Linked DNA regions of Tamandua tetradactyla. The protein of the gene in region 1 purifies or fractionates together with the protein of each later gene. This does not show direct contact. Links are inferred from orthologs where the notes say so. Each region holds a gene or a part of one and is shown in the gene's direction. Other genes may lie near its edges. The genes, in order: U2SURP and SNRPA1.

Region 1 (12,283 bases):
TTTTTTTTTTTTAAAGAAAGAAAGACAGAGAAGGAAGGAAGGATGGAAGGGAGGAAGAAAGGGAAACATCTTTAAACATTTTCGTTTTTTATTATATTTTGTTTGTTTGTTTGCTTTTTACATGGGCTGGGGCCGGGAATCGAACCGGGGTCCTCCGGCATGGCAGGCAAGCACTCTTGCCCGCTGAGCCACCGCGGCCCGCCCGGTTCTGCCCACTTTTGAGGTTTCTCCAAAGTGTTTCCCCCTTGAAAGGACTCCAGTAAACTAATCAAGCCCCACCTTGAATGGGTGGAGTCACATCTCCATCCAATCAAAAGGCCACACCCATAATTGAGTATGTCACATCTCCATGGAGAAATCTAATAAAAAAAAGCCCAACCACAATTGAGTGGGTCAATCTCCATGGAAAGAATCTAGTCAAAGTTTCCACCCTACAATATTAAATCAAGGTTAAAAGAAACATGGCTACCCCCACAAGACTGGACCAGGAAAAAGGACACGGCTTTTCTGGGACATATAACAGCTTCAAACCAGCACAAATGGTGTACTGAAATTTCCCACTGTTATTATTGAAATGTCAATTGCTCCCTTGAATTTGCCTCTTGTACTTTTGAGCTCCTTGATTAGGAGTATAAACATTTATGATTGCCATGTCTTCTGTGAATTGTTCCTTTTATTAATCTATAGTGTCCTGCCTTGTCTCTTATGACATTTTAACATTTAAAGCCTATTTCATCCAATGTTAGTTACCTCTGCTTTCTTTTGGTTAGAGCTTGCATAGAACATCTTTTTCCATCCTTTCATTTTCAATCTTTCTATTTATATTCTTAGGTCTAAGATGAGTCTCTTGTAAGCAGCATATAGATGGAGCATATATTTTAATCCATTCTGCCAAACTATATCTTTTAATTGGTGAGTTTAGTCCATCAACATTGAGTTTTCACTGCAAAGGCAGTCCTTGAATGTACCATCCTATCCTTTAATGTTTGTCATGTCTATATATTCTTTCCCCCTCTCTTATATGTTAGCCTTACCACTACTCTTCAACTCCGTACTCTCGTGCACACATTCCTTTCGCCTTTTTTTTCTTTTTTCAGTTGACAAAATTCCCTTTAGTGTTTCTTGTTGGGCAGCTCTCTTGTTGGCAAATTCTCTGTCTTTGTCAGTGAAGATTTTTATCTCTCCTTCAGTTTTGAAGGACAGCTTGGTAGGATAAAGAATTCTTGGCTGGAAATCATTCCTATTCAAAATCTTATCATACCATTGCCTTGTTTTCACGGTGGCTCTGGGGTAGTTTGAGCTCAGTTTTATGTGATATCCCTTATATGTAAGCGAATTGTATTCCCTTGCTGCTTTTATGACTTTTTACTTTTCTTCAACATTTGACATTCTGATCAGTATGTTTTGGGAGTAGGCCTATTTGGATTTATTCTATTTGGGGTTCACTGGACTTCTTTGATTTGCATACTTACATCTTTTATAAGAGTTTAGAAGTTTTCTCCCATTATCTCTTCAACTAGTCTTCCTACCCCTTTTCTCTTTTCTTTCTGGGACACTGATAATTCTTCTATTTGTTCACTTCATGTTATTTATCATTTCCTGAGATTTAGTTCCATTTTTCTTGTCATTTGTTCTCTTATGTATTCACATTCAGTTGTCCTATCTTCTAATTCACTATTCTTTCTTTTGCCTCTTCAAATCTGTTGCGTTCAGTATACTTTTTTCAGTATATACTTTCACCTCTATGAAATGTGCTATTTTTCTATTTATTCTTTCAAATTCTTATGATTGTCCAGTGTCTTCGTAATATCTTTTATGTTCTTATGAACATCCTCGATTTAGTTGTTCCAAACTCTGCAGCCCCTCCGCTAATAGTTAGCTCATTTGACTGAGCCATATCTACATGAGCCTTAACGTGCTTTATGATCTACTGCTGCACATGGGGCATCTAAATGTCTTAATAAGGTTATTTTGCAAGTTAATTTCCTTCACACATCTATGGTTTCGTATTCAGATTTGCACTGAAAGTCCCTGTTCTAGTTTGCTAGCTGCCGGAATGCAACACACCAGAGACGGATTGGCTTCTAATAAAAGGGGATTTATTTTGTTGGTTCTTCAGAGGAAAGGCAGCTAACTTTCCACTGAGGTTCTTTCTTACGTGGAAGGCACAGGATGGTCTCTGCTGGTCTTCTCTCCAGGCCCCTGGGTTCCAGCAACTTTCCCTGGGGTGACTTCTTCCTGCATCTCCAAAGGCCTGGGCTGAGCTGCAAATGCTGAGATGAGGAATGCCAAGCTGCTAGCAGTGCTACGTTGCAATCTCCCATTTAAGCACCAGCCAATTAAGTCAGACGTCACTCATTGCAGCAGACAGCCTCCTAGCTGACTGCAGATGTAATTGGCAACAGATGAGGTTCACGCACCATTGGCTTATGTCCTCAGCAACAGACTAGGTATGCTCACCTGGCCAAGTTGACAACTGAATCTAACTAACACAGTCCCCTTTAGGACTTTGTCAGTCCTTCCTGTCACATCCCCCCACCCCAAAACCATGTTAGGATCTCATGTAGGGGTTGCAATTCTCCTTAAAGCTCTATTGAGAGTTAGGCAGATGGGCAATTTGCCTGACTGCACTTTTTGCTTCTTCCTAGCAGATGGCATTCTTGAACCAACTCATCCCCTCAGGCCCACCGGTCCTTGAGGGGGCTAAATTATTTGGAAACCTGATGCAATTCTAGCCAGGGCCCACTGCTTACGTGCCCAATGGTTCAGGTGCCCCTCAAACTCCCACTTTGCATGATCTTGGGCTGCACATCTGGGTATTTCAGGTGCCCTTGCCCACAGCCAATCTGGGAATGTCTGGCAGGTGGTCACTGCACACAGTTCAGCAACTCCCTCGGCCTTGACTCTGTCTGCTGTACTCTTGAGGTCTCTGGGCCTCCATGGGAAAGGGGAATGATATTGGGACCCAAACAATTCCCTCTCTGGCTGGCTGTCAGACCGGCAGCACTCGGTGCTTCTCCCTCCCTGAGGGAAGGCCCTGTAGTCTCTGTTGAAATAAACCAGGTACCTGCAGCAGCCTGTCTCAGGGGTGGGGAGCAGGCACTATGCTCTGGCTAATTGATCTTTGTATGTGCGCTGGTTTGAAGCTGTTATGTACCAGTCAAAAGCCATATTTTAATCCTGATCCAACCCTACGGGGGGCAACTGTTTCTTTTAATCCTGATTCAATAGTGCAGGTTGGAAACTTTTGATCAGATTATCTAGAGGAGATGTGACACGCCCAACTGTGGGTGTTAACTTTTGATTAGATGGAGATGTGACTCCATCCGTTCCGGGTGAGTCTTGATTAGTTTACTGAAATACTTTAAAAGGGAAAACATTTGGAAGAAACCTCAGAACTGATGCAGAGTCTTGAACAGTTGCTTCAACTGACAGAGCCAACATAAGACCCAGATGTTTAGAGATGCAGGGCCCAGCAAACATGGTTGTGTGCCTTTCCGTGAGATGCTAAGCAGGCCAGAACCCAGAATTGTGTCTTGGAAGAGCTAAGTGAAGGCCCACAGATGCCAAGTGAGGAACTCCTACAGGAAACAGAAGCTGAAAGCAACAGAGCCCAGGAGTAAGGGACCAGCGGATGCCAGCCACGTTGACTTTCCAGCTAACAGAGGTGTCCAGACAACATCAGCCTTTTTTGAGTGAAGGCAGCCTCCTGCTGGTGCCTTAATTTGGACTTTTTCTTGGCATTAGAACTGTAAACTTGTAACTTATTAGATTCCCTTTTTAAAAGCTGTTTCATTTGTGGTATATTCCTTTCTGGCAGCATTAGCAAACTAATATGGTATGCAGGGAAAGCAAGTCTGTCAACTTCTAAGGACATCCCGCCCCCCCAGCCCCCCAACTCCCAGCTTACAGAGCCTTAAGGGAAAATCTTCCAAGCCAGCTGCCGGAGGCAGATGAAATTGTGGTGGAGCTCACTCACTCCATTCTCTCATTCCCAAATCTCCACTTTTTTATTCAGGGTCTCCTTAGGTAGAGATGAAGACCCTCTCTCAACACTGACACCCTGGAACCGCTGTCTGAGTCATTTTTCAGTCCCTTCTCTTATTGTTGCACAGGACCAGGGTGAACTCAGCCTCTCTTATTCTGCCATCTTGCTGGAAGCCCTCCATTTGGATTACTTTCATGCTACCTTAGCCTCTCCAATCTGTGATTTGAGTACAGGATCAAGTTTTCATGATTTAAATTTATCAAGTAGAACTCTGCTTATAACCTTGTGAGCTTTTGAAAATCCAATTAACTGGGCCTTAATAAATACTGTATCAGTTTGTTATGCCGCTATGACAAATATCACACAATGCTTGGAATCTACTGCTTATGGTTTTGGAGCCTAAAAGGCTTGCTTCCTCCCAGGGCTTGTAGCCTTTCCATGCTGGTTTGCTTCAATCCTGGGGGTAAATTGGCTTGAATCCCTGCCTCACAGCAACTGGCAATATCCTCTCCTTTCTTTTCTGGGTTCCCATTGACTTCCTACTTCTTCCTGTGGCCTTTTCTGACTCTGGCTTTCGGTTTCTTTCTCTTTATAAAATCTCCAGTAATCCAGGTTAAGACCTAATCTCAATTTAAGTGGGCCACACCTTAACTAAAAATAACATCTTCAAGAGATCCTATTTACAATGGGTTCCACACACACAGGAATATGAATTAAGATTTAGAAGGTGTCTAAATTGGGATATACAATTCAATCTATTACAAAGGCCTATCTTTATATTACTTCTTGTCAGGTCAAGGTCACATTTGTCTGATTTGCTTTGGGATTTATGGCATGAAAAGAAGAGAGGGAAGAATTCTGTGCACTTCTATTTATGTTTAGTGAAGATTATTTTAAGCGGATTTTGGTGATTTGAATAAAAAGCACGCATAAATTCACCTCAAAGTGACAACGCCAGCCTGACACACTGCCAGAACACCCCCAGGCTATCCTAATCGCATTCCTTCCCCTTGATGGTTTCACTTTCCATTTCTCCACTGTAGCCAGACAATTAAGATCTAGTATGATGAGCTCCTTGAGTGGGAAAGTATAGTTTCTACCGAAATAGAAGCAAGACCTCTAACACAGTCTTGGTGGGGGAGGGAATCTGCAAGGCTTCCCCCAAGAAATGACATCTTCAATAAGAGTAGAAGATTAATTATACTTCAAAAACGGGCAAGGCTGAGGGTGCGGAAAGAGCCCCAGAGGTGAGAAAGTGATAAGATCCAAGATTGGGAAGAGGTTCACCTGGGCTGGAGGACAGGAAGCACTCTATTTTAATTCATGCGCAGCACTATGGCACCTATCACTTTCTGATGGCATGCTTTGTTTACTTGCTTAGTGACTATCTTTCCATATTCCTACCCTATCCCCTTATACAGAACCGGATGCCTGGTCTGCAGTTTCCTTGGTGCCTGGCACATGATTGTGAACCTTTTCTGAGGACCTGCTATGGGTCACATCCTATTCTAACTCCCATATCCTCCCACCCCCACGCCGCCATCCAACAGACAAAATTCTACTTCTTCCCAGCTGATCAAATCCTACCTTCTCTGGGAAGCCCCCTCATTTCTTCTCCACCCAGCCCTTACCCTCAGAATTATTCATTTGTGTTTCTACAGCATCCGATCCTTCCTTGCAGCACCCATATCTTCAGTTCGTCTCCCCTAACTTTTGAATCTCACGCAGACGGTTTTATTCATCCCCACGAACCTCAGAACCGTCCGTGCAGGGTTGTGTCCGCAAGTCGGGTCTCAAACACACTGGGATAAACGAATGCGGGAGAGAGGGTCCTGAACCCCTCTCCCCCTTCCAGACCTGGGTCTCCGCACGTTACAGCCTCCACCGTTCTCAGAGCTTTTACAACGACAAGGCGACCCCCGCGCAGCCCTGCCCGACCCCGCGGAGGCGGAGGGTAACTGCAGCCGCCCGCCCGGGGCCGGCCCCCCGCCTCACGCCCGGTCGACCGGCCTCCGCTTCGGGTCGCCCCTCGGCCCGGCTCGCCTCGGAATCCGGCCCTGGTTAAGAGCGGTAAAAAACCCTAAGTGCGGAAAAGTTTACGGCGCTTTTCATGGACGTGATAAAAAAGGAAAACAACGATTAAACCTCAAAGCGTCATTTCAGGCGACACAGGGCCGACGTATGCGGGCTGTGAAGGGCCGTCCAGGTGCGCCGGGTCCTCCCGCGCGCGCTGTCCGCAGGTTCTCGGCCGGGGCGGACCGGACCGGGCCCGCTGGCCGCCCCGCCGGGCTCTTGGCCGGGCCGACGCGTCTCCGTCCCGCCTTCCAGGCGCGGGTCTCCACACCGAGCGCCCCTCCCGCGCGCGGGCTCCACGTTCGACTCGCGCGGGAAGCCAGGGCGCCACCCGCCCTGCCCAAAGGTCACGACGAGGCGATCCTCTCCGCCGACCAGCCCAACATCCCCGTGAGACGCGCGGCCGCCGGGAGAGACGCACGGGCCGGGCGGGGCCGGACTCCTCCCGCGACCGGAAGACACGGGCTCGCCTCCGCCCGCACTCGATGTCTCGGCCATCCACTCCTCAGCCTCGCAGGCGCTCTGGCGGGCTCCGCGGAGATCCGCTCTTTCGGCGCTCGACTCGCCGCGCTGCCGCCGCCGCCGAAGGAGGGGCAAAGCTCAAGATGGCGGACAAAACGCCAGGCGGCTCTCAGAAAGCCAGTTCAAAGGTAATTTTTTCGAGAACTTCGGAAGCCTGTGGGTCTGTCACTGTCGTCTGGGGCCTACGCGCGCTTCTGTTCAGCGGAAGGCGGGCGGGGTGACGGTGGGCGTTCTGGTGGCCGCGCCAGACCCGGGCGCTGCCGGACCGTGGTGCGCAGGTTGAGAGGCCTGGTTGCGCCCCTGAGTCCCAGCCTGGATTCGGCTCGAGACTGGCGGGCCCGGGGTGGGAAGGAGGGGGCCGGAGCGGTTCGGCCCGCCCGCCCTGGGCTCCCGAGTGGAATGTGGAGTTCAGGGTGAGGTCTGAAGCCTCGAGGACGCGCTCCTTCCTGTATCTTAGCTTGTTGCGCCCCGAGACCTCCAGAAAGTCTGTGGGAGAGGCGGGAAACGCCTGTGTGGGTGCTTCTCGGTGTTTTAGTTTTGGGTGTCACATTCTTCCGGCCTCGGTTAATATTTCCCATGGCCTCTGGGGAATAAATACTCTGTAGGGCCGCAGGTTGCGCGGGGAGGACGAATAGTGGAGGGACGCGAGAGGGAAGTGCAGAGGCGGGATGTGCACTGCTGCATCGCCAAGGTTATTGCTACACTCCACACGTGTTCTTTACCTCGTTTTCAAGGAAGTACAAGTATTTCTCTTGAGGCTCGGAGATTGGGGGCTCTCCGTCATCTCCTTTTGGTGTGTTCCACCGAAAGGGGAGCAAACGTAGTGTTGGAAGACACCTAAGATTAGTACGGTGTGTGTGTGTGTGTTTACCGTGGTCGGCGTGCACGCACTGTGATTAGTAAGGTTGTGGTTAGCATCAGGTCTTCTTTGCCATCTTCGGCTGTTAAGTTTTGTTTTTTTGTTTGTTTGTTTTTTTAACATGGGCAGGCACTGGGAAGCGAACCCGGGTCCTTTGGCATGACAGGCAAGCGTCCTTGCCTGCTGAGCCACCGTGGCCCCTGTTAAGTTTTTTGATGCCCGTGCAAGAAGTTGTGAACCCACTTTACAGATTCTGAGGATAGTTGTATCTTATTTAAAGAGAGTGTATGATTATGGGTCGGTTATTAAGAAGTTAGCAAATTTATGGTAGAAAAGATAAGCTTTGTGTTTACAATGTGTTCTAAGAAATAGAGTACCCCATTTTATACTTTCTTTTTCAGTTTTTATAAATCTGAATCTTTATACCATTTGGTGAATCATGTTCTTAACTGGCTCTACTTAGTAATGGATTAACCAGACATCCTTGAGTTATGTAAAAACTGGTAGAAAGCCATTTTGGGCTGCACAGTATCAAAGACATTTACCCCATTTTAGTTTTCCCTCTTCCCAGTACATTTCCCCTTCTTCGGTGAGTGTGCAGGTGGGAGGATAGGTTGATTCCTCACTCCCTCCCTACCCACTCTTTTCTGTATATTCATGACGAAAAACAGCCCATTTATTATTAGGGAGACATCACTAAAGCTGATTACATGTAAAATAATCTCTCATGCATATGGTTCACAGTTTTGTTTCTTGTTAAAGTAGTATTTTAAGTATCTCCTATTTAAGACCCTGTATACATTGAAAACATTTCAAAAATTGGGTTAGAGAGGTGAATGGATAAAGTGGAAGATACTTTTGACTTCCTTGGATATCTGATACTGAATTATTTTGGAAACGATGCTAATCAGCTGCCTTTGCTGATTAACAAAAAGTACAGCTTTTAAGAGATAAGTAAAATAAGGTTTACTTTAAGACCTGTGATCCTTAGGTATTTTTTACTACCAATGTACATTTTTTTGTGGTACCTAAAGAAATTTAAAATTGAAAAATATGATGAAAAACTCCAAATAAAATGTAAGTCTTGACAATTAGGCTCTTCGTATTTTGCCAGTTTTAGTTTAAGTCTTTACCATGGTGTGGTCGTAACTTACTTTACGGTATAAGATGTTTGGTTTTTTTGGGTAGAGGGTGAAACTATTAACTTCAGTTTTCTTGATTGGTGCTTTAGAAACTTCAGTATCTGTAGAAATGATACTGAAGATGACCTGCTTTTGCTGTGGTCTTTAATTATAGTTGAATAAAATAGGGGCAATTATTCCTTATCTTACTGGATTCAGCTGATCTCTGAAAGTCGTTTTAGTTTTCTTTTGTTTTTTATTCCTGAAGTCATGTTTTCCCTGGAAAGGAAGTCTAACAAAGATACCCATTTTTCTTAAAATGAGAGAAGGGATTATTTGATTGCAAGTCGAAGACTCCTGCATTTCTGCCCCCTTTTACAAATAGTATAATTTTTGAAATAAAAATTAAAAACTTGCTATAGGATATCAAACTCAAAAACAATATTCAACATAGATTTCCCCTTCTGCTATTATTAATGGCTTCAGCGTTTTGTTGCAGACCCGCTATGTGCTAAATATTTTGCTGAAATAATGTATTTGAAAGGAAGATGCATTTGCCAGTAGCACTTGAGGTATTTACTGTTATCAGTTGTCTCTTCCCTGAGAAGTTAATTTTTATCATTGGGTCCTTCCTCAGTTAAGATAAACTAAGGACATTCAATATACACTTGTAACTTTTCATGTATTGGCAGTGCTTGAGATGTAATTTTAAAAGTCATTTCAGGTTTGTTATTTATTTTGCGTAGTTCATGCCTCATTGATCTTAAAGACGTTTGGCCCTGGATACTGGTAGCTGCCACTTGTTAATGAGTGTACAGCATAGTATGTGGGTAGTGTGAAGTTTAGTTTTGTCTGGGAGGTACTTGTTCTGGCAGATTAAGTCAAGTATGTTGAGGCTTTGTCACTTCCCAGAGTTTGTCCTTGAGAAAAATGCTAAATGAGACTACTCACTTTGGGGAACATGCTCTCTAGTAGAAGTCAACACACATAGTAGGGTAAGGCAGAGAAAGGGTTCAGGAGCATACTGGCATTTGATTGCTCGAGTCATTTTAACAATGAGCAGAGATTTGAAGGGTAGAGACAATAGTATAAAAAAAGACTGGTGAGGTGAGGGAAAATAAATTGTTGAAAAATGGTTTGGTAAATATTTTGGTTTATGCCCTGGCTAAAGGGCACTTACAAAGGGAATAAAAGGAGCTGAGACTAGAAAAGTAAGTTGGGGCCAAATTGTAGAGGACTTTGAGTGCTAGGGAATAAAATTGGAGAGCCAGGGAAAATTTGAGTCAGGAAATCTTCCATGAAAGTTTTTTTCTGGGGGCTGAGCTCAGGAAGGATTTGGTGGTGAGGAGGACCACTTTGGAGATACAGATAAATATTGAGGTTTGCTTTAAAATCTCACCTTAGATCCTCTCCGGAAGCTAACATTTCTCTCCCTTCATTAAGATTCTGTGCTCTAGTGGCATAGCCACTTCGTTTTATTTGTATTTCTTTTTAAATTAGCTTCCTAGGGTAGGGGCTATGTCTTATTTTACTTCATATCTCCAATGCAAGGCCCAGCACCAGCCTCACCAGAGGTGTCCCAAAAATGGTTGGGTGCAGGGGAGATCTGAACCACCATGTTAATGTCAGTAGAAAGAGAAGAGCTGGGATATATGGAATCTGACTACCATTTGGTTATGAAAGGTAAGGCAGGTGTAGCAGTCCAGGATGATCCTGTTACAACACTGCTCCTCTTGCTGCTGGATAACACTTGTTAAGCAATTACTGTGCAGGAAGCCCTCAGAAGAATGCTTCACAACAGTCCTATGAGACAGCTTCTATTCACTTTCACAGATGAAGAGATGAGGCCCAAGTTTACAAAGTTAAGAAGTGCTACAACCAGAATTCAAACCCAGGAAGTCTGGCTTCAGATTCCGTGCTTTTAACAACATTGTTCTACTTCCAGATTATGATGGATTGAGAGTTATGACCTGGGTCAGAAACGAGAAGGTCAAGAAGAGAAGCTTATTTGGAAGGAATTTTGGACAGGTTGGATTTGAGGAGCATGTAGACATACACAGGTGAAAATATTCAAGATTGGAACCTAGAGATCGAAAGGAGCCGTCTCAGCACAATAAAAGTGTTCATGAACTCCCTTTGGGAGAAATCAAACTTGTGGAGATGAAAGTTGGTGCTTTAGAGAGTGAGAGGAAAAAGAAGACATTTAGGAGAGAGGTATATGGGAATGAGATTTGGCTAGGCAGAAAGGTGGTGTTGGAGGAATGTTGCTGTGGATAGCTTGCTAACTTGAGAACTGTCTGTGGGGCTTTCACTTGAAGTGAAGTAGGGGCAGCAGGGAAACAGTGGTTTATATATTCAGCTCGCAAGATACAGGACCGTGTATTGTAGTTGATTTCACCTTTATCTCCTTTTTCCTTTTGGATTTTCTTGCAGTCCTCCACGTTTATTCTGTCTTTTCTATCCTGAGATAAATTCCTCTTGTCTGCTTTTTTTTTTTTAATTACTTCAGATCTTCCTTGTTCTACCTTTTTGTTTCTTGCATTTTGGTCTCTTTATTTTGATAAGGAATTATGCTGTAGATGTCAGAGGATATTTAAGCATTGTTAATTTTGTGTTCTTTAGTTAAAAGATGAAAACCTAAACACAAAGCTAATCATGTGGTTCAGTTCCAGGTTAAGAATAGGGAGACTTGTCTTTTTGATGTAGTTTTATATCTACTATCTTCCCTGCACTCAACCATTTATATCTACTTGGACCACTCACTTTAGAAATAGTTTATTACTTCTCTAAAATCTTACTATTTGCATCTCTCTAATTGTTCTTAGCCCAAAGAAGTTCCATTCTGAAAGCTTTGTAGCTATAGCTGCATATCAGGGAGAAATATCTCTGGTTTGCAGCTAACATCACCAATGACACCTTAGGTTAATTTAAATCAGTTGGTACAGCTTCCTAAACTATGCATTTACTTACTGCTCAACTTGTAAATTCATCAAATTATGTTATTTATAAAGCTGACAGAAATGCTACTTTTGAACTTCTGTTTTAGAGAGTATTTACCAGTTCAGTGGATACTTATGCACCTGAGATTCTTGAAAGCTGTATCACAGAGCTTCATCTGAATGATTTGGAGTCAGGAAAGATTTAGCTATATAGAGATAGGCAGAATGTCCAGGTTCTTGTACCTTTTGTTTTTAAATTTTAGAATTAATGATTTAGATATAGTGGCATAGAAGATGAAAGAAAAGTAAGCATTTGTATCATGCTTATTCTTTTGGGTGAACTTTAGAATTATTTTGGCAATCTTCTTGCCCCATTGTAAAGATTTCCCTTTGGGATTTTGAGTTGTTGAATGAAATTGCATTAAATATGTAAATAAATTTGGGCATAATTGCATCGTCTTAATAGTGAGTTTTTCCATCCAGAATATGATGTGTCATTTCAGATGGTGACTTGACTAGATGAATTCTTCAGTAAAGTGTGTGCTTTCTTCACACAGGTTGTGCACCCTTCTTAAGTTGGCTCCTAATTGTTGCTGTTATGATTAAGATGTTATTTTTGTTGCCTGACATGTCTGATACAACTAGAAAGCAGTGTGTATTTTTTTCAGCCCATTCAGCTTCTTAACTGAATGTTTTTTTTCCCTTTGGATTTTCTAAGTGTCTGAAAATTTCACAGAATTAAGTTTCAATATCATAAAATATTTCTTCTTACATGCCATCT
Region 2 (12,299 bases), on another chromosome or scaffold:
CCGGCCCCAGCCCATGTAAAAAAAAAAACAAACAAACAAACAAAAACTAATAAAATGATCTCTTTAAAAAAAAAAAAAAAAAAAAAAGGTCCCACCCACAAATGGTTGGGTCACATCTCCGTGGAAACAATGTAATCAAAAGATCCTGCCCAAATAATACCTCCACCCCCACAAAATTGGATTAGGATTAAAATAATATGGCTTTTCTAGGGTACATAACAGTTTTAAACCTATACTTTCCACCCTCTGGACCCCCAAAAGACATGTTTGTACCATATGCAAAATACATTCATTCCATCACAATATCACAAAAGGCTTAAACCATATCAGGAGTGATACAAATGCAATATCAACTCAAAAATAGCACAAAATCTCACCAAAGTCAGTTACAGCCGTGGTCTGTCCTAAGGCAACATTCTCCTCTGGCTGTAAACCTGTGAAACTTAGTGCAAGTTATCTGCTTCCAGTACACAAGGAGGATAGTCATAGGATAAACATTCCCATTGCCATAGGGAGAAATCTGAAAGCAGAACAGGGGTCACGGGATTCAAACAGTTCTGAAAACAACAGGGCAAACTCCATTTGATTTTAAGTTCTGAGAATCATTTAGTAGAATGATGGTTTATCCTCTAGGCTTGAGAAAGCAGCAGTCCCACTTATAAAAATCCCTTTCCAGGGATTTACACAGTGGCCCTTCTCTCTCTAAACACTGGGTGAAGATTTTAACGTATCCAAGTATTGGGGAGACCACCTTGTTCTCAGCTCCACCCTCTCCAAGCATCAGGGCGGTACTCCTACCATCTCCCAGGCACATGCTGTATCCCTTCTGGACAATGGGGTGGTCACCAGGCTCCCCCATTCTCCAGGGCATATGCTCCACCCTCTCTGAGGCCTGAGGCAGCAAAACTCTTCCTGAACAATGAAGCAGAAGGTCAGCCCTCTGCTTCCAGGGCACACTCACCCTCTCCATGTGCATGGGTGGATCTGTTCCCTTGGCCTGAGATTTCCTAGCTCCAGACCTTAGCTTCCATGGTTATGCCTTTGAAGTCATTTTTCCTTCAATCTGTCCCTTTTAGTCCAGACTGGCAGTGCTTCTGTTTATACAGATCTCACCAAAAAATGTGTTGACTTGGCATGCAGCATACAGGAGTAAAACCCATCAGACAATAGGACTTTCCACAAATCCTATATGAATAACACCATCCCCAATCCTGGATTTTTCTGAAATGACTGACTGGTTCCATGTTTGGTTAAATCCTCACGTAGGGCAGTATTTTCTGGGATCTCATTTTCCAAAAGCTCAGAATTTTCCAAACTACGTTTTCAGTTGCTTTCTCCAAAAGAGTTCAGTTCTAAACTTATCTCTTTCCTGTCACATTTTACAATAAGCTACAAGAAGAAGCCAGGCTGTATTTTCTACATTTAGTTTGGAAATTTCCTCAGCTAGATATCCAAGCTTATTGCCTTCAAATTCTACCTCCCAGCCAATACCAGGACTCAATTTTGCCAAATTCTCTGCCCCTGTGAAACAAGGGTCACCTTTCTTCCAGTGGGCAATGACATGGTCATCATTTCTATCTAAGGCCTTATTGGAAGACACTTTAGCATCCAAATTCCTACCAACAGACTCTTCAAAGCCATCCAGGCCTTTCCTATTCACCTCCTCACAATTCTTCCAGAATCTTCCCCTTACCCAACATGTTTGATATTGCAAAAACTGCAGCACCCCACTTCTCTGGTACCAAAATCTGTTTCAATTTGTTAAAGCTGCCAGAATGCTATATACCAGAAATGGATGGATTACATAACAGTTTCAAACCAGATCCAATAGAAGAGTGGACAAAAGAACTAAACAGACACTTTACAAAAGAACATAAGGAAATGGCCAATACATATGTAAAAAAAAAAAATTATCAACTGCATTAGTAATCAGGGAAATACAATTAAGACCCCAGTGCAGCACCACTACCTACCCCACTGAAATGGTTAAAATTAAGAAGACAGACAATACCAAATGTTAGCTAGAGTGCAAATGGGCATTACCATTTTTGAAAACTAGCATTACCTACTTAAGCTGAACATAAGTAAATCCTATGACCAAGCAATTCCATTACTAGGGATATATGAGTATATATGTTCACTTAAATATATACACTATAATGTTTATAGAAGCATAATGTATTCTAGCTCCAAATTTGAAATTACACAAATGTCCAAATAAATTGTGGAAAATTCATACAATGAAACACTCCATTTTTGAAATGAGAAAAAATGAACTACGTCTACACACAAGTATAATGTTAAGCAAAATATGCATGAGGTACAATTTAATTTGTACAATTTCATTTGTTTAAATACAAAAGTAGGCAATCTATGCAAAGAGAGGCAGGATAATGGTTACCATTAGGCCAAGGGTAGTGACTGGAAGAGGACAAAATCTGGTGCTAGTTGCTTGGGTGTGCTTGGTTTGTACTCTTCTGTACTATATATATAATATATATAGTCATACTTCAATTAAAAGTTCAAAAAGAGCTAATTGTGGAAAGTAAAACAATAGCCCCTTGTAGATAACATAGGAAAATATGTTGGAGATTAGGACAGATTTCTTAAACAAGACACATACACACTCACACACAGATACTTACAACCCACTAACTATAATGAAAAAGATCAATTGGAAACTACATAAAAATTGCAAACTTCTAAAAAAATTATTCTAATTATCAAACACCAATAAGAGTAAAAAAGATAAACCACAGAGTGTACTCATATCCAGTCTATGTGAATAAAGAATTCCCATAAATCAATAATAAAAGGGTAGACAACCGAATAGGAAGAGTTGGCAGGAGACCTGAATGTGCACTTCACAAAAGAAGATATCAAAATGGACAGTATACACATGAGAAAGGCCTCAGCGTCATTAGTTATTAGAGAAAAGCAAAATCAAAGCAATAATTCAAAACTACTATATACCCAGTAGGATTGCTCAAATTATAAAGACTGACAATGTCAAGTGAGGCTGAGGTTGGAAGTTCTGGAAACACTTACACACAGCTAGAATGAAATTATTCCAATCTTGGCATACCTGTTAGGCATTGCCTGGCGATGATACAATACCCTTTGTTCTAGCAATTCCACTCCTGGAGAAACTCATGTGCATGTGCACCAGATTCATGTACAAGAAAACTCATAGCATTATTCACACTAGCCCCAGCCTGGAAACAACCCAGTTTGTCCATCAACAGTAAAATGGATGTTATAGTGTAAGACATATCATGAAATTCTATACAGCAGCAGAAAAAGCATTACTAGATACAACCTGCATGAATTTCAAACATAATACTGAACCAAAGAAACTGAGCATAAAAGCAGACTGCATAATTCCATTTATATCAAGTGCTCATACTTTTATGGTCAGTTTATTTGAACACCATAAATACCTGGAATCTTGAATAGGGAGTGAGATTTTGTTCGTTTGTCTAGGTTAGTGTGATGCCCTGATAAATCCCAGAGAGATTTAGGCAGTAAATAAAGAAGTATTTGCAAAATCCCCTTGAGGGAATGGGGAGAAAGGACAAAATATTCAACTTCCCTATTTGGAGAATTTCTAATACTCTTACAAGCAGTGGGGACAACCAAATTAATAGGCTGAGCCCTCAATCTTGGGGTTTGCCCCTATGAAACTTATTTCTTCAAAGGATAGCTAACCCTACTTAAAATTAGGCCTGAGAGTCACCCCCAGAGAACCTCTTTCATTGCTCAGATGTGGCCTCTCTCTCTAAGCCAACTCAACATGTGAACTCACTGCCTTCCCTCCTACGTGGAACATGTCTCCCAGGGGTGTAAATCTCCCTGGCAACGTAGGACAGAAAGCCTAGGATAAGCCAGGACCTGGCATCAAGAGATGAGAAAGCCTTCTTGACCGAAAGAGGGAAGAGAGAAATGAGACAAAGTTTCAGTGGCTGAGAAATTTCAGAGTAGAGAGGTTATCCAGGAGGTTATTCTTATGCATTATATAGATAATCCTTTTTAGTTTATGGTGTATTGGAGTGGCTAAAGAAAAGTACCTGAAACTGTTGAGCTGTGTCCCAGTAGCCTAGATTCTTGAAGACAATTGTATAAAGATATTACATTTACAATGTGACTGTGTGATTGTGAGAATCTTGTGTCTGATACTCCTTATATCCAGGGTTTGGACAAATGAGTAAAACATATGAATAAATAAATAATAAGGGGGACAAAGGGTAAAATAAATTGGGTAGGTGGAAACACTAGTGGTCAATGAGAGGGAGGGGTAAAGTTGTATGGTGTGTATGAGTTCTTTCTTTATTCATTTCTTTTTCTGAAGTGATGCAAATGTTCTAAAAAATGATCATGGTGATGAATACACAACTATGTGATGATATTGTGAGCCACTGATTGTGTGCACCATGTATAGAAAGTATGCATGTGAAGATTTCTCAATTAAAAATTTTTTAAGAAAGAAAGTGTGCAGTTAAACATTGCTACCTATCATAACTTGCCAAACACCAACCAAAACCACTCCAGCCAATCATAAGGAACACCCAGGGCAATATATAAGATTCTACAAAGGTTCCATGCACTAGGGTAACTTTCCAGAAACCTACAACCTCCAGATGGACCCCTGGACCAGATAAGTCCTGAAACCCAGAGCAGCCAGCCTCTCCAAAACATCAGCTAGTTCCGTGTCCCTACATATTATTAATAGCCCCTTCCAACATGAAAAAGTTAGAATGGGCATAGCTCAAATACCCCTAATAAGTGGAAGTAGGATCAAAGGTGATGGTGGAGTTATACAGAGAAGGTAGGGTTTAACAAATGAGTATGATTGCTGAGTCATTATACTGATATTTCTTTTAGTCTCCAGTATCTTAGAGCAGCTAGAAATAAATACCTAAAATTGTGGAACTGTTACCCATACCAAACTGTGAAACCTGTTCTACAACTAATTGTTGCACTGTGCTTTGAAATTTGCTTTTGTATATGTTATTTTTCACAAAAAAAAAGTCTATTGTGATGATAAAAAAATATTTTTTTCCTTCTGGCCTCCAATGTTCTGGAGGAGTTAGGAAAAATCTGAAATGATGGTATGGTAGCTAATGACAAACTCTGGGACCCATCCTATAACTACTTGTTAAAGAGTGCTTTGAAAACTATTGCTTTTTTCTTTCTTTGCTTTGTATATATGTTATGTTACACAAAAAACAAAAATAAAATAAAATTAAGTAAGTGAAACTAACCCATTGTTACGGTTCACTGTTTTCTTTGGGTTGGGCAAGGAGTTCTCAGGAAAATGTTCTTTTTCTGAACCTGGGTAGCACTTAGGTAGTAGTGTTTTCTCTGTGGTCATTCATCATGCCGCAGTTTTATGATTTGTGCACTTTTCTGTATATCATACTTACATATATAGTTTTAAATGTCTAGAGACCACAGGCCTAGCCACCGCTAAAATCCTGCGCCCTACTTTTCTGAGCAAACTCTTGAGTTTCCTTTTGCTGTCTTTTGAAATGTGAAATCCCCACCATGGTGGCTGACCCAGGTAAACAAGCAAGCCAATCAACTGGTTTACTGCATTTGCCGCAATACAAAATAAAATCCCACCTGCCCTAAACCCACCCCTCGAAGCGGAACAAACCCCTGTCCAATCAATAGGAGTCAACCTAACCTCCTTTTTATGGCTGTAAAAATCATTTGCCATTCTTAGAAGCTGGAAGCTGCCTCTGTTTTTACCCGTGCTCAGGCTTCCTTGCTGCACCCAAACTTCTGGTGTTCCGAGTAAAATGCTGTTAACTACAAACCACGCCAGTGTCTTTGGACACCGCAAATCCAACAGTGCTGGTGCCCGGTGGGAAGTCAGGCAGTGGGGCTGTCCCAGCAGTCTGGCCACAAGGGGGTAACCATGCCCTGGCTCCCACACTGTAGCCCAACAGCCAAAGCCCAGGACTAGGACGGAAATGTGAAGTTGCAGCCCCTCCCTACATTGAACCTCAGAGGTCCCCGCCCTCCTGGGTGGAGTATGGATGGTCATAGCTTCCCCTCTCATTTTCCACTGATGTATATGAAAGCTCCACAGAGGTGCTTTCACACTTTGCTTAACTTTCGGAGACAGCTCTCTGGTCTCAGAGGCCCACCAGACAAGATACGCAGAACCCAAGGAGTCCTCAAGCAGCGCCAGGCAGGAACTTAGAAAACGAGCCGGGGGCGTGGTCCTTCGATTGCTTCTGCCTGGCGTCGAGATGCGCGCGCACCCGCCGGCTGCGATTGGTGCTGTCTGGAGGAGGGCGCGGGGCACACTGGGAAGTGTAGCCGGCGAGAAGCAGTGGGCCTTGGCGCTAGGAAGCGCCAGGAAGCGGGAGTGTTGCAGGATGGTGAAGCTGACGGCGGAGCTGATCGAGCAGGCGGCGCAGTATACCAATGCTGTGCGGGACCGCGAGTTAGACCTACGGGGTGAGTTCGGGGCAGCGGGCGGCCGTCCCTGGACCTCACTGGCCACGTGTTGGCGCCCCGCCTCCGGCCTGGATTCTGGGCGCCCAGGCGGTCGGGGCCTCCGCCCGCCGCCGAGCGCAGTTCCTGGTACATCGAGTTCTGTGAGCCGGCACCTAGAGGCGATTCTTGCCTTTGCCGCCAAAGGAGCCTTCCGTTAGGCACCACTGAGACTTCTGCAGTCCCTATCCTACTCGCACACACGTGGCCGAATTAATTGCTTCCTTGTCCATGCCCGTGGACCTCTATTAGACCTTGTTTGGGGCGTTTCGCAATCCGAGCTCTTTTTCGGGCCGAGAATTATATACTTAGTAATGATTGTGACTCAAGTGCACGGCGGATGGTTGGGTCTCGCTAAATACTTTGAAATGATACTGTGGGAGTAGGTGGGGCATATGGTGATTACCCATAATTTATGACGAGGGAAGCCAATTCCGGGAACAAAAGCGATTGCTTATTTTCCGCGGTATTTCCTTCTTACTGGCTTTAGGTTCCTTCAGTTTCCTTTTCATCAAAACGTTTTAAAAAATTCATTCTGCTGTTTCACCAAGCTTGCTGCGGGGTATGTTTCCAGCCACCACCACAGGGTGTTCTCCAAACTTTGGAGGTTCATGTAGATATCTCAGCCGAGGAAGGCATGACTGCTTTAGAAAGGATGTAACGAAAAGATGTGATCTTTTCTGGGGTGAAGTTTATCCATTCCCGGTCTAAGGTTTTTCCACATGGAGACCGGTCTCAGGAACAGCACTTCTTCAGGCTCTGCTTTTTTATTAGTTTCTTTGCTGATTGGGAAGTCCCAGTGCTTTTATTTTGTTGAAATCACCTTTCTTAGGGAAAGGTTCAGTTCAAGGGTAACTTACTGTCTTCAGATTCGTGGTACCTTTCTAAATTCTGAGGTGCACCCAGTATTGAAAACATTTATTTTGGTGTAGTACCTACTTTGATGTAGTTCTTACAGTTCCAAATTGTGTACTTTATTCCTGACTGGGTTTCTTTCTTCTTCTAACATCTAGCATGATAATTTTGCCCATATTAGACCAATCGTGAGCATTCGAGTGAATGGTTCATAGTATGCTGTAGTAATGTGTGTAAGCTGTTGACCCTCAATTCTGCATTGGAACTGGGGGAAATGAAGAAAGCAGAAACAAACACATCAGTAGGATATCCTGCTGAATCTAGCCTGTTGGAATGCAAAAGAGGTTGAGGGCTGTTTTTCACATAGTATAAACAAGGCTTGGGTACTAATAGTCAGCTAAAAGCATAACTTGCTCTGGAGCCTTGATTAAATCAGAGCTTCGGTTTCATTTTATTTTTAAATTACATTTTGAAATTGTTTTATTGTGGATTTATAGAACAATCAGGCATAAAATACCAGATTCCCATATACTACCCTATTATTAACACCTTGCATCATTTTATTGTTACAGGGGATGAAAAAACTTGAGGCTAAATGAAACAAATCATGTGTACTGCTTACAATAGTACAGGGTACCTTATAAATATTCTTACAGATGTTTGCTACAAATATTAGTAATAATAAGTAATCCTCATCATCAGCTGCAGCAGCATCTCCATGTTCACTACTAGATTATAAGTTTCATAGCCACAGGGACTTTGACTGTTTGACATTTTATCTCCACTACCTAGCACACTATTTGGCATGTTGTAGGCGTTAGGTAAATAGTTTTGAATGAATGAAAGCCTTCAGTCAAATTACTGTGAAATATTGTTAATTTTTTAAGGTAACTTTTAATTATGATACAGTTCTAATTCCTTTGCTTGATATTTCTTGTTTATTTTTAATGTTACAGGGTATAAAATTCCTGTAATTGAAAATCTTGGTGCTACCTTAGACCAGTTTGATGCTATTGATTTTTCTGACAATGAAATCAGAAAACTGGATGGTTTTCCTCTGTTGAGAAGACTGAAAACATTACTAGTGAACAACAACAGAATCTGGTACTTTCTACTAAGTAGTAATTTTTCCCAAGAGTAAATGTTGCAGTGATCCCTGAAGAGATTGTAATGCATACTACTGGTTAAATCTGTTTATTTCTTCTTAATGTGAGAAATGACCTGCACTCCTCTCATAGAGATCCAGAAGATTAACTTGGCATTGGTCTAATCTTATATGCATCTGTTTTAGAAATGTAGAAAATTTATATATTCATGGTAACATTTTAATTTAAATTTAAAACATGCTTCATGGTACACATTTGGGCTTCTAAAACAATAATTATAAAAATGAAAAGGATCACATTAAAGGAATATATAATTTCAGCAATTATATTTTTGCTCAGACAACTCTTTCTTACCTCACATTCTCTGCTATTTATGTTTCTTTAATTACAATGGATTTCTAGAATATTACTTACTGAAATTGAAATCTCTTTGTGACCCTACGTCAGCTTTGTGTAAATTTTATAGAAGAAAATTTATACCAGGTATACAGATAATGTCTTTAAGAAGGTCTCCTTGTTGAGACATATTTCTCATAAATTTATCATTCCCTGTGGTATAGTTTTGAACGTCTTATACCTGAATTATGAATGCAGAATCATGTATTTCTTTGCTGTCTGCACAGAGAAATCATGAAATGCACTCTCACTAGGTATTGTGCCAGTGGAAGGAGCTCTAGGCAGCCTTCACAAGGCTTATGTACTAAAATCCTCCCAGTTCTGGTACTAATCCAAGACCTTTTACGAAGTTTTCTCTTTGTGCCTCATTTCCCTACTGTCAGATGGGGTTTTGGAAAAAGAATCTAAGTTTCCTTTTAACTGTGAAGTCTGAAATCCTCTGAGCAAGAACTTAGATAAAATTCTTAGCTAACTAAATTTTAAGAGTCTTTTTCTTTTAGCCGCATAGGTGAGGGACTTGACCAGGCTCTGCCTTGTCTGACGGAGCTCATTCTCACCAACAACAGTCTTGTGGAACTGGTAAGATGAATGGGGGGAAATGTTTTGGGTGGGGGTGAGATTAAAGGTACTATATCCTTCCTATAAGAAATTTGATAAAGCCAGAAAAATTCATAGAAGATTGTCTTATCCTTTTTCATTGTCCTTTTCTGAATTAATTCAGGTCCTGAACCCTTTTTGGTTATAAGGGTTACAAAAATCTTCTCCTACTGCGACTTGAATTTTCACTCTCTTAGGGTTTCTTGGTAGAGAAATTTCTAATTTAAGTATAATCCAATTTATTAATGTATTTCTTTGACAATGTGTTGATGCTTTTCCTATCCCGGGGTCTTGAAGAAACGTGGTAGCCAATAGTCAAATGTGGTTATTCTGAATTGAAATGTGCTAGAAATGTAAAATACATGCTTGATTTTGAAGACTACCTGCAAAAAAAAAAAAAGGAAATCATTTCAATAATTTTTAACATATTAATTACATGTTGAAGTAATAATTTGATTATTAGGTTAAATCAAATATGTTGTTAAAATTTGTTTCACCCGTTGCTTTTTTCTGTCTTAATGTGGCTACTAGAAAACTTTAAATTACATAAGTGACATACATTAAACCTGTGCTGGACAGTTCTGCTTGAGAAACTTTATTTTACCCTTCACATTTCAGCAGTCCACCTGTAACTGGTTTTTGTGTGAGATAAGGAGCATTTTCTCTATGTAGATATGATTATTTTGACCTGTTTTTTTATCCTTTTAAAATTTTTACTCTATAATTTTCTGAACTTTGTATTTTAGATTTGTCTCTTGAAAAAATTCAATCTGAAGTCACACTTTTAGATGAAGTATTTAGTCCATTTATATTTAATGTAATCACCATATATTTGAGTTTGCGTTTGTCCTTTCTCTTTTCTGGGGCTTTCTGTTTGTTCCACCCATTCCGTATTTCTTTTCTCCTCCTTTTGTTCGCTGGGTTTTTATTGTGTGGTTTTGTTTTGGTTTGATCATTTCCTTTTCCTTCTAATAGAAATTATTTACTCTATTTCTGTTCTTGTCAACAACCTTTGAATTAAAACATGTGTATTTGTCAAAAGTATAAAGTTAACTAATCTTCCTAAATAATAGGAAACTGAAACATTTCAGCTGTCCCCCAGCTTTGTTATGTTATTTATCTTTTTTTAAAACCTCACAAACCATCATCATTGTATTTTATACAGTCATTGTGTATATGTGTTAAAAAAACAAAAAAGAGGTTGCCACTTTTTGTTCTTTATTCCTTTTTGAATCATCCTTTAGGTTTCATCTAGTGTTGGTATGCTAGAGGCAAACTCTAGGGCTCTCTTGGTAGTGGTTGTGAAGTATTCAAAAATCTGTTCTCTGCCTACAAAAGCAGAACTCGTAGCTCTTCCCCACCTCTTTTGTTTCTAGTTTATCTCATTGGTTCTCTTATCTCTGTGCTACTTGATTTGGTTCTATTTCAGTAGTTTCTCCTCAGTATAAGAAAAACTTTTTGTCTTCTGATATTGACACAGCTATAAATTCCAAAAATTTTAGATTTAAGAAGAATGTATTAACCATTCAATAACTGTCTATTAAGCATCTGTGATGTGCTAGTATGGTGCTAGGTGCTAAAGCAACAACAAAAAATAATAAAAGATATGATGGGTGCTTGCTCCAAAAGCGCCCAACATTTCACAGTTTCATAATGGTGCGTTGTTCTTACTTGTGGCGGATATTTTACAGGGTGATCTGGATCCTTTGGCATCTCTCAAGTCACTGACTTATCTAAGGTATGGATATTATTTGTGATACTGAGGTCCTTAATAATAACACATTTATTTTGACCTTAAAGCAATCAGGGTTTTTTTGTTTGTTTGTTTTAAGTATCTTTTTAAAAATGATTGAAAATTGTGGCTGCATAAAGGAACAAAGTCGTGAGGCATGCAGCATGGTGAATGAAACTTGAGGACTTATGTTGAGCAAAATAAGCCAGAAACAAAAGGACAGAGATTGTATGGTCTCTTTTAGAAAATAGTTATAAGAGCCTACATTGTAAGCTCTTACAGCACTCACATTTATTTCTGAGCTTTAAGTCTTATTTCTAAATTCTGAGTTATGGTACTATCTTTGTATAACCTGATATAATCTGATATTTCTCTGGAACTTTGGGTACGTATGTGACACCTAAGACTCGGAGGTGGAGTTCTGCAGCTCTGAAAGTCAGCATTCCTCCACATAGCTACTGTTAAAGAAGCCAAAAAAGAAACCAGATTTCAATTAGAGATAAGAACAAAGCTGATCTGGTTGGGACTTAGGTAAATCAGAATACAGGATAAAAGATGATATGGTCTGTATTTTAGAACTTCACCTGCTGTATGAGACCAAAGGAAGAACTGTTTATTTATCCAAACTTAAGTTTTCTGCAACACACACTCTAACCTGTCTGGCCAGTTCGTTTAAACAATCTAAACACATGGAGCCTACAACAAGATCTTGTAATACTGTGATACATTCCAGAGTATGTTGGATAGGTAATTAAAAAGTATTGGTGGGCAAGCCACGGTGGCTCAGCAGACAGAATTCTCGCCTGCCATGCCGGAGACCCAGGTTTGATTCTCAGTGCCTGCCCATGGGTGGCGGGGGGAGAGTATTGGCCAAGTCCCTTGAGGGCCTGGAGAAAAAAATATGAAACTGTTAAACTCTTCCCCTCTCTCCCCTCACCACCCACCCCAGGAAATCCCTCACATACTCCAACATTAGGGACTCCCAAGTTAATAGACCAACCCCTTGACCTTGAGGCTTTCTCCTATGAAATTTATTTCTGTAATGACGAAACTAAGCCTACCTATGATTATGCCTAAGAGTCACTTCCAGAGTGCCTCTTTTGTTGCTC

The links.
Region 2: the proteins of U2SURP (region 1) and SNRPA1 purify together in Homo sapiens (affinity purification with mass spectrometry; 5 studies listed by BioGRID and IntAct, with this or other methods). This does not show direct contact. The link is inferred for Tamandua tetradactyla from reciprocal best matches to the Homo sapiens genes U2SURP and SNRPA1.

What each region holds. Positions count from the first base shown.
Region 1 is NC_135341.1:87,247,007-87,259,289, forward strand, and holds the start of U2SURP (U2 snRNP-associated SURP motif-containing protein), read left to right. Parts: upstream 1-6,583; 5' UTR 6,584-6,666; coding exon 6,667-6,711; intron 6,712-12,283.
Region 2 is NC_135338.1:83,232,544-83,244,842, forward strand, and holds the start of SNRPA1 (U2 small nuclear ribonucleoprotein A'), read left to right. Parts: upstream 1-6,288; 5' UTR 6,289-6,386; coding exon 6,387-6,468; intron 6,469-8,315; coding exon 8,316-8,463; intron 8,464-9,361; coding exon 9,362-9,440; intron 9,441-11,149; coding exon 11,150-11,196; intron 11,197-12,299. UniProt on the Homo sapiens protein: Involved in pre-mRNA splicing as component of the spliceosome. Associated with sn-RNP U2, where it contributes to the binding of stem loop IV of U2 snRNA.